Linked DNA regions of Arabidopsis thaliana. The protein of the gene in region 2 interacts with the protein of the main gene of each other region in a pairwise test. Each region holds a gene or a part of one and is shown on either strand. Other genes may lie near its edges.

The links. The genes of interacting proteins can lie anywhere in the genome.
Region 1: the proteins of AT4G18520 (region 2) and RIP1 interact in a two-hybrid assay, tested with the Arabidopsis thaliana proteins (one study listed by BioGRID).

What each region holds. Positions count from the first base shown.
Region 1 is NC_003074.8:5,046,487-5,054,242, reverse strand, and holds RIP1 (cobalt ion binding protein), read right to left. Parts: upstream 4,049-7,756; 5' UTR 3,923-4,048; coding exon 3,534-3,922; intron 3,363-3,533; coding exon 3,265-3,362; intron 3,181-3,264; coding exon 3,115-3,180; intron 2,757-3,114; coding exon 2,122-2,756; 3' UTR 1,788-2,121; downstream 1-1,787. Other genes in the region: AT3G15010 (RNA-binding (RRM/RBD/RNP motifs) family protein), read right to left, coding at 185-1,399; DJ1A (Class I glutamine amidotransferase-like superfamily protein), read right to left, coding at 4,622-4,819, 4,909-5,049, 5,165-5,365, 5,532-5,612, 5,704-5,889, 5,984-6,133, 6,408-6,608, 6,713-6,733. UniProt on the Arabidopsis thaliana protein: Involved in organellar RNA editing. Required for the processing of numerous RNA editing sites in mitochondria and plastids. Binds to the plastid RARE1 factor, a pentatricopeptide repeat-containing protein involved in RNA editing.
Region 2 is NC_003075.7:10,213,692-10,221,025, forward strand, and holds AT4G18520 (Pentatricopeptide repeat (PPR) superfamily protein), read right to left. Parts: upstream 3,524-7,334; 5' UTR 3,413-3,523; coding exon 1,559-3,412; 3' UTR 1,405-1,558; downstream 1-1,404. Other genes in the region: AT4G18530 (lysine ketoglutarate reductase trans-splicing-like protein, putative (DUF707)), read left to right, coding at 4,058-4,066, 4,467-4,571, 4,789-4,872, 4,955-5,059, 5,153-5,236, 5,321-5,439, 5,522-5,623, 5,697-5,879 and 4 more. UniProt on the Arabidopsis thaliana protein: Required for proper chloroplast development. Involved in the regulation of plastid gene expression probably through regulation of plastid-encoded polymerase (PEP) dependent chloroplast transcription.

The DNA.
Region 1 (7,756 bases), on a different chromosome or scaffold from region 2:
AGCAAATAGACTAAAAGAGACACAGGGAAAAGAATAGCAGAGAATTTCTAGCAAGAAAATTACGCACAACCTGCAAAAACAATATGCCACAAAGTAGGGAAGAATATATAACTATGCAATGAATCATGATAATGCAACACACTCTTAAACCCCAAAATATACAAGGGAGAACAACCGCACCTTTTCAGTAGTTTGGTGGACCGTTGGGGTACATTCCGCCATGAGGAACTCTTGGCACAGGGGACGTTCCAACAGCCTGATGATGCTGTCCAGGATACCCAGCAGATGATGAAAGACCGTAATGCCCACTCTCGGGATAACCACCACCACCAGGCATCGAACTTGGTGGCATTCTATACTGCCCACTTCCAGTACCAGGCCCACCATACCCACCGCCAAGTCCACCGTAGACGCCAGTACCACCTGGACCTCCATATCCACCATAGTGTCCACCATACCCAGCAGAACCAACACCCATTGAGGAGTGTGTGGAATTCATGTGATGCGCTGGTGGTCCTCCAGAGTACCCACCATAAGCACTGATACCACCAGCTGCACCATAAGGTCCTGCAGGACGCACCATTCCCATTCCCTCACCATGAACGTGTCCATGACCAGAACCACCATCTTGAGCTTGTGGCATTCCAGGCTTCCCTCCTTTCTTACCATCAACAGCCAACTTACAATTCAAATGTTTTCCATCAATCACCTTCACCGGATCAGCAAGAGCAGCCTGCGCACCTTCCGCTGTCTTGTAGACAAACAATGCAAAGCCTCTAGATTTACCAGTAACCTTATCAAAACCCAAAGGACCTTCCTCAACATCTCCATAAGCCATAAAGTGATTCAATAGCCTATCCGCCGGCATATCAAAAGGAACATTCGCCACATAGATCTTCCTCATTGATATATCTGCAATCTGGGAACCCGTACCTTGATTTCCAGATGCCGCGAGCTGCGTTACTGTAACACGCCCATCAATTTTCTTAGATGGTTCTTTCAGAGCTAGTAAAGCTCCATCAACGTGCATAAAAGTGACGAAACCATACCCTTTCGATTTCCCAGTGACCTTGTCAAGGATCACAATAGCTTCTTCTAGATCTCCGTAACTGGAAAAAAGCGAACGGAGACCTTCCGTAGTAGTATCCGCCGCGAGACCACGGATGAATAGCTTCCGCTGCGAGATATCAGAGTCGGCGGTTAATCGGACAGATTCAAGCACGTCGGGATGGCGTACGATAGCCTCTTGCAATAAGTCGAGCAGCTGATCAGTGGTGAATCGCTCGATAATCTTCCTCGCGTCTTGCGGCGACAATCGAGTTGGACCAATGGTTCCGCCACCGTTGGTATTGAGTCCGTTACCGTTCTCATCGAGCTTACGCTTCTTCATCATATCCATGGTTACAGATTTATCTCTGGAGTTATTCTTTCACCGGTAAATCCCTAATCCTTCTAGTCCAGCCGTAGAGAAAGCGAATCTGACACGAAAAAAAAGAGGGGAAAATATGTGACGGCGGAAAAACATATGAGGGAAGCGAGGGCTTTATACGGTTACGAGATTTTCCATTTTGGGCTGAAATTTAGAATGATGGGCCGGGATAAAGAACACAAAGCCCATCTTGTTACTTCACACCCGCTTCTCTCTCTCATCATCAAATTGTGTGTTCTGTCAAGTTTGTCGAAAGAAATATGATATTGATGACATTTGTCATTCTTCCTGTTATAATATGAGTATCCCATTCCCATGTAAACATGATTGGGGAATTAGAAATTAAGACTAGGAAGAAGCCAAAGAAAGACACAAAACAATAGCCTGTGGGAGACATGTTACTAAATCCCGTTTAATGCAGAACCAGGAGTGGACATAAGAGTAGCAAGCATCACAAGGAAGAACTTGAGATCGATTTAGGATATAAACTACTAAAAAGAAACGCAAGAGTGAAAAGTTCTAACCATGCCACAGTAACTTAGGCTATTCTCTCTCACATAATCCCAGACTGATAAACACTCGAGATAAAAGGAGTTTTAAAGTCTTGCTACTGCACTCTCTCTTCCTCAAATTATCTATACACAGCCCAGAATGCATGATTAAAAAGGAAACCCACGACTGCTTCAACTGCTTTAACCCTGGTAGGGGTTGCCACTGCCATCCCGGTTAGGTGGGTAGTTGTTCTGGTACTGTGGCTGCTGCATTCCACTACCCTGCTGCTGGTAGTTGTTGTTCTGTGGGGGTGCTCCTCCGTATTGAGGTGGTGGTACTGCTCCATATTGAGGTGGTGGTCCTCCTCCATAGTTTGGTGGTGGTGCTCCTCCCATGTTGTTTGCTGGTGGTGCTCCTCCATAGTTGGGAGGTGGTGTTCCTCCATAGTTCTGAGGTGGCCTCGGTCCTCCCATGTTGTTTTGCGGTGGTGCTCCATAAGGTGGTGGATGCCTTGGTCCTCCCATGTTGTTTGGTGGTGGTGGTCCATAGTTCTGCCCCATGTGAGGTGGAGGAGGTGCAGAGCCACCCATATGAGGCGGAGGAGGTGCAGAGCCACCGATGTGCGGAGGAGGAGGAGGGCCTCCCATGGGAGGACGTTGAGGAGGAGGGCCTCCTGCCATGTTCTCTCTTCTCCTCTCAAAGTTTCTGCTTCTATCATTGTTGCGAGGACGGTCATTGCGTCTGTTCCTTTCATTTGCTCTAGCATTGTTCCTTATCCACTCCTCGTGGTACTTAGGATCATAAGGAACAGCCTTCCCATCGATGAAAGGTTCCCCTGAAAGTCAATATATACAAAAACGCATCAAACTAACTCTCTAATAGGATCACCAGAAAGATTTAAACTCTCACCAAAGCAACATCACTGCGACTTCTACAACACCAGTCTCACAATAGATATCACTAAATCAAATCTAACAGATGCACCCACAATGTTAATTAACTATAAATAGAAGTCGCCCCATGTGTCAATCTAACACAAAAGCATGGAGCAAGTAACGAGTCCACAGAGCGAAGACTAGCAACAGGTAGTTTCCCTTGAAAATTTCAAACCCAGCAAAAGTATAATGGACGAGCAAAGCAACTACCCCAATTTCAAACCCAGGTTATGATACAGATAATACACTTAAGCCTACCTCCATAGTCTTTGTTCCTCACATCCAGGTAAGAGTCAGGAAGAACCCAGCGCACATTTGACAACTCTGGAGAGTTACAGAAGAAAGTTAGAAGGCAGATTATAACACAGAAATGAGGAAAACTAAAACCCAACAAAGGCAAGAGTTAACCTTTTAACTTGTGAGAAAGATCTTCTGACACAAGTGCCCCAAAAGCATAGTAGCACCTAGTTGAAACCGAGTAGATCTTCATCCTAGCTTCGTCTTCACTGAAATGTCCAAAACGAGATATATCATGTTACAGCTCCAAAAATGATCTAAGTAAACACACAGATCCGTCATACACAGTAGTGGATTTCTCACTTATTTAACCTAAAATCCCTAGAAGAACATACACAGAGAGAGAGAGAGAGAGAGAGAGTTTTGAATTGGGGATTTACCTGCCAACAATCTGAGCTAGGGTTTTGATGTAGCTATCAATGATTTCATCTCTAGTAGGCTCACCCTGAGGTGGCTCCACGACGACAAGCCAGTGCTCGAAATCGCAACCATCGAGCAGGATCGTCTCCTTAGGTGGCCTGTTCGACCAGTTGGGATTCGGGTCGTTCAGAGAAGACGATGTAGCCTGCGTCGAGAGACCTTTGACAGACACAAGGCCGCCACGGAAAACGGAGGAAAAAGCGGCGACCAGAGGACGGGACCGGCTGAGCAGAGAAGACGCCGGAGATTTGGCGAGAGGAGCAGATGAAGCAAAGGATCGCGTGAACAGAAACGAAAGAGATTTCGCCGGTCGGCAAAGAATGGATCGAGAAATGGTATGCGTCGCCATGGAAGCTCTAGATTGGGCTTCGCAGATAAAACCCTAGGAGAGAGTGTGAAAACAGATGAGCTAGAAATGAAATCAAGGGTTTTATGAGGGTTTAATAGTAGATTATGAGTCGAGGGCATTTTAGGTATTTCATAACTGAACTGGACAGCGAAATCTACGGTACTACCCCCTGATCTTATCAGATTCAACAAAATTGCCCCTATTTTACCTTAAGTTACAAATAAACACATTTTCGCCAAGAAATTAGTGACATTACTCTGTTTTCAAATGATAAAAAAGCTATTTTTATACAAGAAGAGAAGACTGAAGATTTTATTTTCACTAAATTGGTAATAATCATATTATTAAATGGTTTACAAATATGAAATATTCCAAAGCTAAACATAGGGGCAAATTCGTATTTTAGAGTTATTGTAAGGTCAATTTGGTGAAAATGTGTGACTAAAATATCTTTCTCCATAAAATAATTTTTTTCTCCAGCACACCCTCTAGCTCTTGCAGAGGTTTAAAGAAAATATCGGCAACATACATAGAAAAATCTCGTTTATTCATTTATAAAGGCATAAAGTTACACACCAATCACTAAGCCAAGCTCATATGTCATATATCATAAAGTAAGTAATTACTAATGGAGAGAGATAACTAAAAGGCAAAGCCTTCTTTTTATTCAAGCCACTCTCATACTTTCATTGTTTGAAATCACACAAGTGTTGCCTTTCCGAGCTGAAGAGCTTTCTCTCGCCCGTAAAACTTTTCGACAATGGCAAGTGAAAACTCCATTGCAGTCCCTGGAGCTCTGCTTGTTATGACATTTCCATCTACCACGACTCTGTGCTCAATGTGACTCTTGTCCGAAAGTTTGTCGCTCACCACTGGGTGAGTAGTAGCCTTCTTACCCTATACAAAACATGTCTCTTATATCTCAGTTTAATGACTTAAAAGATAGAACAAGAAACTACAATTCTAGTACTGTTTGATTTATGCACCTTGAGTAAACCATTAGGCTCGAAGACGTAAGCAGGCGATGCGCAGATTCCTCCATATGGTTTGTTTGCTTCTGCCTGTTTCCTTAACATATTAACTAGCTTCTCGCAGCTTGCGAATCTTTGAGCACCGTTAAGACCGCCCTGTAGTTCATCAAAGAAGTTGGATTATGTTTTTGGTTATTTGTCATCATAGAATATTAAAATTTAATTTAAGACTAAATAGTATATTCACATTTTGGAAGTTAGCAATACTCACAGGTAACACAATCAGATCAAACGACTTCTCTGCAACCTCATCAAGAAGAACTTCTGCTACTAGCTTAGCTTTGCGAGATCCTTCAACTTCCAAACTGTTACCAACTGCAGCAATCACTACATTTGCTTTTGCCCGCCTCAGGATATCTACAAGCGCTATAGCTTCAATTTCCTCTGACTCCTCTGCAATGGGTACGAGAATCTGAAAAGGGAAAACATTATCTCTCTGACTCATAAAAGACTATTGATCAAGAAAGACAAAAGCTTTACAACACAGCATGTTCCTAGGAATCTGTATAACGGATCAAACAAAGCCTGTCTTGGAAAAATGTTAAAAGGGCCAAGTGGAGAGGCAACTGAACATTTACCTGTGGTGTATCTTCAAATGACCAGTTTGTTTGGTTAAGCTCAGTAAAAGTAAACTCCTCACCAGGGTTAGGACGAAGCAGCTGATTTCAAAAGGATAACAAGTAAGTCTACGAGGAGGTGACATGAACACGTACCACAGCGGTTGATAAAAGAGGCAGAGACAAAACATACCAAGATACTGGAGACTTCATCAGCTTTTTCTTTCCCAAACAACTGCTCTATAAGCGTGATGGAGAATTCAATGGTGGTTCCTGGTCCACGACTGGTCACTATTCTTCCATCAATTTGCACTCTTGACTCAACAGCAGTTGCACAAGTAGCCGCAAGTTTCTCCATAAAAACAGGGTAACCCGTTGCCTGCAAGAAACCCCATGTAATAACAAGACATTACAAGGCCTGAAAAAAAGATAAATAAACGCCCTTGGAAATATACTGATCACTTCTGACTTACTTTCTTGCCTTCTAGTAGACCCCAAGTACCAAGAGCCAAGGCAGGAGCACAACATATAGCTGCGTTAAGTCGGCCATCAGAGTCTTGTTTCTTGACCATGTTCTCTAAAGATTTACAGTTTTTAAGAGTCTCGCCACCGGGAAGCCCTCCCTTTTCCCAATCATATCAAAAAGTATATCAGCAACACAATTATGAAATCTTTCAGAAAACAAGAATCTATGAAGTTGTTTCAGAGAACAAAAGTTGCAACAGATACATCTAAAAACCATCGTTCTTAGTAGGAACTATAAACATCACTTTCGAAACTTTAGTTAAGTGAGCTAATTGATAATTGATCGATCCACTTATTGGCTGTCCTTAGTTCTTAGATTACACACAAAGAAACAAAACAAATGGACAATGTTAAATCAGCAGAGAGACTTACGGGGAGCACAATAAGGTCGAAAACAGAGTCGGTAATATCAGAGAGAAGAGTATCAGCGACCATCTTGATGCCATGACAAGCATCAACGCCAACCTGAGTCTCAACAGACGCCACCGTCACGTCAGCACCACCTCGACGCAACACGGTAATCATCGCCACCGCTTCTAGAGGCTCCGTACCGTGCGCAATAGGGATCAAAACCTAAAAGAGACGCCAAAAAACCTTGGATTAATAATCACAAAAAAAAATCGTTACGTACGAGGAGGGAAAAAAGTATGATCTCGGGATCGTGAAACCCCACACACCGTTTTCGTAAATGAAGCCATAGTTGCGGAGATTAGAGAAACGATGGTCGAGTCAAGAAGAAAGAGAAATGGAGTGTAGTGGAGAAGAAAGGAGTGTCACTAATGGGGTTAAAATAGTAGGAAAGACTCAGTGACGAAGCCATTTACGACTTTCCTTTTTATCACTTTAACCAAAAGAAGATAGACGTGTGCGATGACGTAAGCATAAAGAAAAAGAAACTCGACGATACGTGTCGAACATTCATTGGTGGAACGTGGCGAAAGCTTCTTTTGAGTCTTTCCACGTCATTGTATTGGATAAAATCAGAAAAAGCCACTTTGGTTTCGGTAAACTAAGACGGCGTGAAGTTGGCGAGAAAAAAGTATTACAACAACGACATCACGTCCTGGTTCTTAATTTTGTGGAAGCACGTGTTGTCGTTTTTGATACATGTACTTTGTAGTAGAGTAAACCGGACGAACTTCTGAAGAGATGTTTTGTTAATTTTGTAGCGTTCCAATAATTTATGGGCTTTATATGGGAGTGTTAACCGGTCGAAAAAGTACTCCTACCCTTTCAAATAGCTATTAACGCGAAATTTGAAACTACTAGTTAAACTTAACCAAATATGATCCCATAAATATGATATATATACACGGTAAACTAATTAAGAGACTGTTCAGATGGTTTTTGGATGAATCGGTGTATTCAAATTAACACAAACACACACATTTTTCAAAATGGACAGCCTGAAATCATGATTTTTGTTATGATCTCTAATTTCTAACCCAACATGCAACAAACAATAAATGATCAATACCCATTATCCGGTCCAAAGTGTTTTTAACAAACTTAACGTTTTAGATATAATCCAAGGATGTGTGTCAAAATTCACTTATATTGTAATAGACGAAATTAAACTAGATTAAATCACATGTTTGTGTGTTTTAACCATGTTTGATGGCTTCGTTGGGTCCAACATATTCCATTCACAATTAGGATGAAGAAGAATGTCTCAATACAGAAAGCCAAATATAAAGCAAAACACGTGGCTCATGCATTAG
Region 2 (7,334 bases):
TTTATACAAAATATTCCTGATTTAACAAAAAAAATGATTGTCCATAGACGAAGAAAATCTTTGCCGGATAATTAAGAGTTTCTAACCCAAAAACCAATTGACAAATATTGAATTATCTTCAATTCCAATATGAGATAATATTACAATAATGACTTATTGTATTGACGGAAAACATGAAATTTTCGAAAGATATTTTCAAATATATTTTTTAAGTGTTTTAAAGAAATTTTATGAAGTTTTATAAAAATTTAAAAACTGATGTTTCTTACAAAGCATATTGTATACAAACATCATTGTAAGCATAACCAAACGTGTTTTAGATTGTGACCATCTTTTTTTGAAACTCGTTTATTTAGGCAATTTTCAAAACTAATTTTCACAAATTTCTATCGCAAAGAGAAAATGAGAGGAGGTTATCGAGATAAATTAAATTATTTCAATGAGTTATCTATCCTAATTTATTTGTATATAAATCTTGAGATTTTTTTTTTTAAAATTAACACCATATCAAGTATATAATATGATAGTGTTGACACCAATTTGTTTAGCTTTAGTTTTTAAACAAAAATCAAATATACATACTACTAAGCATAAAGATTAGTAGGCACCTTTATAGTATATACTTTATAGGGTATAAACTTGTGTGTACAATCATACTAAAAATAAGGCATAACATATAAAATAAAATAGTTTACGCATTTTACATCATTCAAAAGACAAAATGTTTTCTCACTAGAATAAAACAGTACTATGAAGAGGCAGGTAGTTGATAATATAAAATTTTCGTCTATTAACCAGTATAGATACGTATCGAAATAGTCATTAATCAACACAAATTCAAAGGGTCTTATCCAGGCACTTAAGATTATCTAAGCATTATATAAGATGGAAAGAATAAGCTTTAATTACGATGAGAATATAAAACCATCAAAAGGCCATAAACTTGGAAGCAGCAACTCGGTTCATTGTGCCAAAGTGGGGACCTATAGTGTGCATTCTGATTCAAGAAAGAGATGATCATGACCTCAATTGAAATTGTAAATCATTTTTAAAAAAAGTAAAGGGACTTCATATAGTCTATATATAGCATATTTTTATCATTAAAAATGTTTGTTTAAAGATTCAACTTAGAAATTTGATTAAATACTAGTATTACTTAACTAGTGCGTTCAAATTATTAGTAAACAAGATCCAACCTTACAAAAAAAAATCACACTTTATTGGCACCTCAACTGAATCTTTTATTTTAGTCGTCAAAGAAAAAAAATGGATTCATTCAAGCTGTAAATGGAAATGTGTCACTAAGGCCCATAAATCTATTTTGAAAAAGCCCATTAAAACTAGGTTCTTAAGTCTTAAATTGAAATATATCAATCTACTTTTTTCTTAATAGATATAATTGGTCATCATTAAAATTCTTGCATTGGCTAATTGCAAAGAAGAAATATTCGACATGAAATTTGTACATTTGGTGCTATTGTGGAACGCATCTTTTTTTTCATAAACTTTATCATATAAGAAAGAACTTGAAAAAAAAAGAGATTCTAAAGAAGAAAGATCAAGATGTCTCCAAGTAACAAGTTGCAGAAGATTCAACAGCTTCATCGAGCTCAATATCTCCACAAGTAGAGAGAATTGTTGCAAATATATAATCATCAACTTCAAATCCCTCTGCCTCCATTCTATACATTAGCTTCAATGCTTCCCTGCAAAACCCATTCCTCGCATAACCCATTATCATCGCCTTCCATGAAACCAAGTTCTTCTCAGGCATACTGTCAAAAACCCGAAAAGCTTCCGAGACAAATCCACATTTTGCATACATGTGAATCAAAGCACTTCCCACAAAGACATTTGATAGAGCATGATTCTTCTTTGCAATGGAATGGATTGATCTACCGATAAGAAGAGATTCTGAATTCGCACAAGCTTTTAAAGCCGAGGAGTATGTAAATGGGTTTGGCTCTACACCTTCTTGAATCATCTCTTTCAAGAAGTCTAGCGCTTCCGATTCATGTCCTAAGCTCGAACATCCAGAGATCATAGCGGTCCATGAAACCACATCTCTAGATGGCAATTGCTGGAGAACATTGAAAGCGTCACGAGATTCTCCGCATTTACAATACAGCCACACCAAAGTACTTCCTATATAGACATTCTTTTCGATCGAATTCTTGATAATCTGTGCATGAAGTTCCTTCCCCAACAATAAAGCTCCAACAGATCCACACGCTCTAAGAATGCTTACTACTGTCAAATTGTTAGCAATCAAATGCCGCCTCTTCATTATCCGGAAGAGGCTGATAGCTTCCTCACCAAAACCTTCCCGAGCATGAGCAGCTATAATCGAAGTCCATGTGACCGTGTTTCTATTACTCATTCCATCAAACACTTTTCTGCAATCAGAAATCTCCCCACACTTAGCATACATGTCCATCAGCGAAGTTCCCACAAAAACATCTGTCTTTATCATCCTCTTAACAACCAAGCTGTGTACTTGCCTTCCGAATCTTAACGCTTTCTCCTCACTACAAGCCTTCAAAATACTGCACACCGTAAACTCGTTAGGCAAAAACCAGTGATTCAACATTCCGATAAACATGCCTATAGCTTTAATTCCATGCCCTTTTCTCGAACACGCCGATATAACAGCAGTCCAAGATATCACATCTTTCTCCTCCATCATATCAAAAGCTCGTAACGCACTTGTCAATTCACCGCATTGCGCATAAAAATAAACAAGAGAACTCTCCACAATGAGATTCCCCACTCCAACTTTCACCATATTACCATGAACTTGTCTCCCTAACTCAAACTCTGCTCTCCTACTACACAGATTCAACAAACACACAAACATCCTCTCGTTCGTAAAACGTATTCCATGCTTCACATAATCCTCAAACAGTGCAAAAGCCTCATCCTCAAGACCATACTTCAAATACCCATCAATCATAGCAGTCCAAGTAACAGTATTTTTCTCAGGCATACTGTCGAACACTTTACGTGCATAAACCAAATCACCAAGTCTAACACAAGAACTAATCAAATTGTTCCCAAAATAGATAACTTGATCATCAAAACACTTCAACGCCATCGCATGGATCCTTTTAATGAGTCGCATCCCATTAGAAGACTGTAGCCACTCCGCTAACAGAGCATAATCAACTCTTTCGCTATCGAAAGAAGACGAATCATCCTGATTCACATTCTCTCCTTTGAAACCACTAAAACCCGAATCGAAAGATGCTCTCTTTCCAGAAACTAATCGAAACCCAGGTAATCTCACGTGTCTCTGTTCCTCTCGCTTAGTTCTTGAATCGCTACTGTAACATATCGTCGGAGATTTGTAGGATTGAGTCACCGGAATCTCTGAAATCCGGAGACGCGGTTGGATTAACGATAACGAAAACATTGTCGGCGATGGAGAAAGAGAAGAAGCTTCACACAGAGATCTCCCGCCGGAAAAAAAATCAGATAAAGTTCTCTTTTTTATTTATTTTGGTAAAGAGAATTAAAAGTTTATAATCTGATCTGGTAATTATGACGACAACAAATAATATCTCGGTCGGTTTCAAATTCCTAAGCGAGAGACAAATATACAGTACACACACGACTTAATATCAAAACCAATAAACGTAAAACACGTGTCTCATCACTTCCCACTTTCCTCTCTGCATTTGTTGTCTCTCTCTCCTGAAAACCCTTGAATTTTGCTACACGATCTCTGAAACGTGTCTCTTTGACTGACTTCAATCTTCTTTATCACTTACCGTTTCTGGGTTTTATGAAGCAACTGAGCTAATAAAAAGCTTCTTCTTAGACTCGGAAGAAGATAAAAAACAGAATCTTTATTGTTTAAAGCTTCCAAATTCGAGAAGAGAATTTGAAACGACCAAGTTCAGGATATTCGTTTCTTCGTCTACTTTGGTCTCTTCCTCTTCTCTTTCGAAAAGGGTTTATTCTGTCTTAAAAGAAACCTTTTTGAGAGGGTAAAAAAAGCTTCAATTTTCAGAGAAACACAAAAGGCAGAAACAGAGAAAAACAAATCATCTAATTCATGAAACAGGTGAGAATACATATTTTCTTCTTCCTTGGTCTCTTCTTTTTTTATTGATTTCATTCATATATCCAATTTTTGTGTCTATTGGCTGTTTAATTGTTGACGATGATGAATTCAGTTAGATAATTATGTGCATAGTTTAGGAATTTTTTAGCTATATCTTCTTCTCATGTGTAAACATAGAGGAAAATCTAAAAAAAATATCTGTCAAATTATTGTCTTTTCCAAATTGTCCTCATTGTCCTATTGAATCAAATAAGATTTTTTATTACTGATGATTCAAATATTGTTAATAGTTTATAACCTTGCTCAGTGTTCTTCTGATGTGTGATTTAAAACCTCTTGTCTCTAGGCTCTGATCTATGTTTTCGTCTCAAAGTCTTATTATCAATTCTCTAAATTGCAGGGTTCAATGAATAGATCGTGTCTCTGTAGTGTCTTAATCACCACTGCTCTGATTTGTGGTGCTTACTTCATTTGCAATGCTTATCTTGCTAAAGACTTTAAAGAGGTAAACTTCTTTGTATTTGGCATCACTTAAGATCTATATGTGTTCTATGATACTGTCATTTTGGTTAAATTGTTCAGCTGTCTTTTTGTGTAATCAGTAGTGTTTTTTTCCGACATGTAAATAACATGACATTGTTGAATAATTCTGGTTTTATAGTCAACATTAGAACAATAAGTTTAGATTTCTGAATTTGATGTATAAGATTATAAATCTGCAGAAGTTGCTGAAGTGGGAAATCACTGATAAGATGCATAACAGTACTGATAAGATGCAGAATGCAACAACAACCAGTACATGCAAGGTTTGTCTTTGAAATATTCTTTGAGGTTTGTTTTATGAGATTCTTTGATATTAAACTTACAAATATATATATCTTTCACTAGAATTTCAATAAGCCAGTGGGTACTGAAGCACTACCGCAAGGAATTATCGAGAAAACATCGAACCTGGAAACACAACATCTATGGAACTACGATGACACAAAAAAGGTTATTTAGTAGTTACATGATTCCTCAAAGATTTGGAAAGTTTCATTGCTTTTTTTTCGTGTAGCTTAATCTTTTGCTGTATATTTCTTTCAGAGAAGGCCTAACCATTCGATGAGTTTGTTAGCCATGGCGGTCGGTATCAAGCAAAAGGAGCTAGTTAACAAAGTTATCCAAAAGGTTTTGTTTTCTCATTTGATTGTTTCTATCAGCAAGATTTTCGTCTTTTATTTCGATTAGTTATACAAATTGCTGTGACTTCAGTTTCCTCCTCGAGATTTCGCGGTCATGCTTTTTCATTATGATGGTGTTGTCGATGACTGGAAGCAGTATCCATGGAATAATCATGCGATTCATGTTTCCGTGATGAATCAAACAAAATGGTCCGTTTTCTTGAACTTCTTGTTATTGTTTTCGTCAACCATCATATACTCTCTAATACTTGAATGTTGTTAATGTCACAAGGTGGTTCGCCAAGCGATTCTTGCATCCCGATATAGTTGCAGAGTACGAGTATATATTTCTTTGGGACGAAGATCTTGGTGTTGGTCATTTCAATCCTCAACGGTAACACACTAAATATAGAATTTGTGTTCTTTTTTATCTTTTTTCATTTCTCATTCCAATCGTTTTACTTTAGATATCTATCTATTGTCAAAGAAGAGGGGCTTGAGATATCGCAACCTGCTCTTGACACTTCAAAATCAGAAGTGCATCATCCTATAACCGCTCGTCGAAAAAAATCAAAAGTTCATAGAAGAATGTATAAATACAAAGGTAGCGGGCGATGTGATGACCATAGCACCAATCCTCCTTGCATCGGGTAAACGCTTTTCGCATATTCCGTGAAATGTTCTTGAAACTCTCTTTCTACCTCATTCTCCAGTTAACATGTAACTTGGATCTGTAGGTGGGTGGAAATGATGGCACCTGTTTTCTCTAGAGCTGCATGGAGATGTTCTTGGTATATGATTCAGGTAACATTTGTGTAGCATTCGTTTTTTGTTCCCCGAGTCGAGAGGATTGGGTTTAATGCTTTCGTTTGCGTTGCAGAATGATTTGATCCATGCTTGGGGTCTGGATACGCAGCTTGGTTATTGTGCTCAAGTTTGTTTCTTCTTCTAACTTGTTTTGATAAGCCCTTACTTCCTTCATTGTACGGTTTTTACTAACATGTTCTTGGTTGCGGATAGGGTGACCGAAAGAAAAATGTCGGTGTTGTTGATGCGGAGTACATAATTCATTATGGTCTTCCAACGCTCGGTGTGGTTGAAACCGCTTCAAGCGCTTTGCGGAATGAGACAGACTCGAAATCAACGGTATGTGCTACTAGTGTTTTCTATATGTTTCTTGAAGCAGTTATGTGTTATGATTTTGTATGAAATAATTTGGTTGAGATTTCACAGGAATCATTAGAGTCTCGTGAAGTGGATAATAGACCAGAAGTGAGGATGAAATCATTTGTGGAGATGAAGAGATTCAAGGAACGTTGGAAGAAAGCTGTGAGGGATGATACATGTTGGGTTGATCCGTATTGAAATCCGAGCGGTTTAAGTAAACCGAATCAAACCGGATTCTTTTCCTTGTTGAGTGTGCTTTGTGGTCCATTGTATACCATTATTTTGGTACATAGATTTTGTTTTACTTCGAGAAAAATTAGTGTATTTATGTGTTTTATGGACCACAGTGTAGATTTAACATTTTGGAGCATTATACAAAAGTGTTTTTGTGCTAGCAAATATTTGAAGATTATAATAAATACATAAATATACAGAAGTGTTTTTGTACTATCTTTTATTTTAGAAACCAATAAAGTTTGTTATGTGAAAGTTTGAGACTTCTTTGATTCTCCTAATGGGTAAATTTATAAGAATCTATAAGATTTGATCAAACAAATATGAATGGTAAAGAAGTGCAAAAATATAGATGTCGAATAGATAGAGCAATATTTTCATTAAAACTACAAAGTCAGGAATTCAACTAAAGTCTAGAATATAAACTAAATTAATTTTGGAAGTTAACTTAATATATTATGGTTAACAGTACACTAAAATATCACCATAATACTGATCAAAATCTTATTTTATGTATGTTAGTAATTTTCTTATACTTCAAATCAAAACTATTTTAATTATTCTATGTATAGTAGTATTTTGTTTTGACCATAAGTTCCATAACATTTAATAGCTCAGATCTCATGAATTTTGAATTGATCAATCTTGTATATAGTATATATGATGAGATCTCACTGTTTTGTTTAAAATTTGGCGTCTTCATA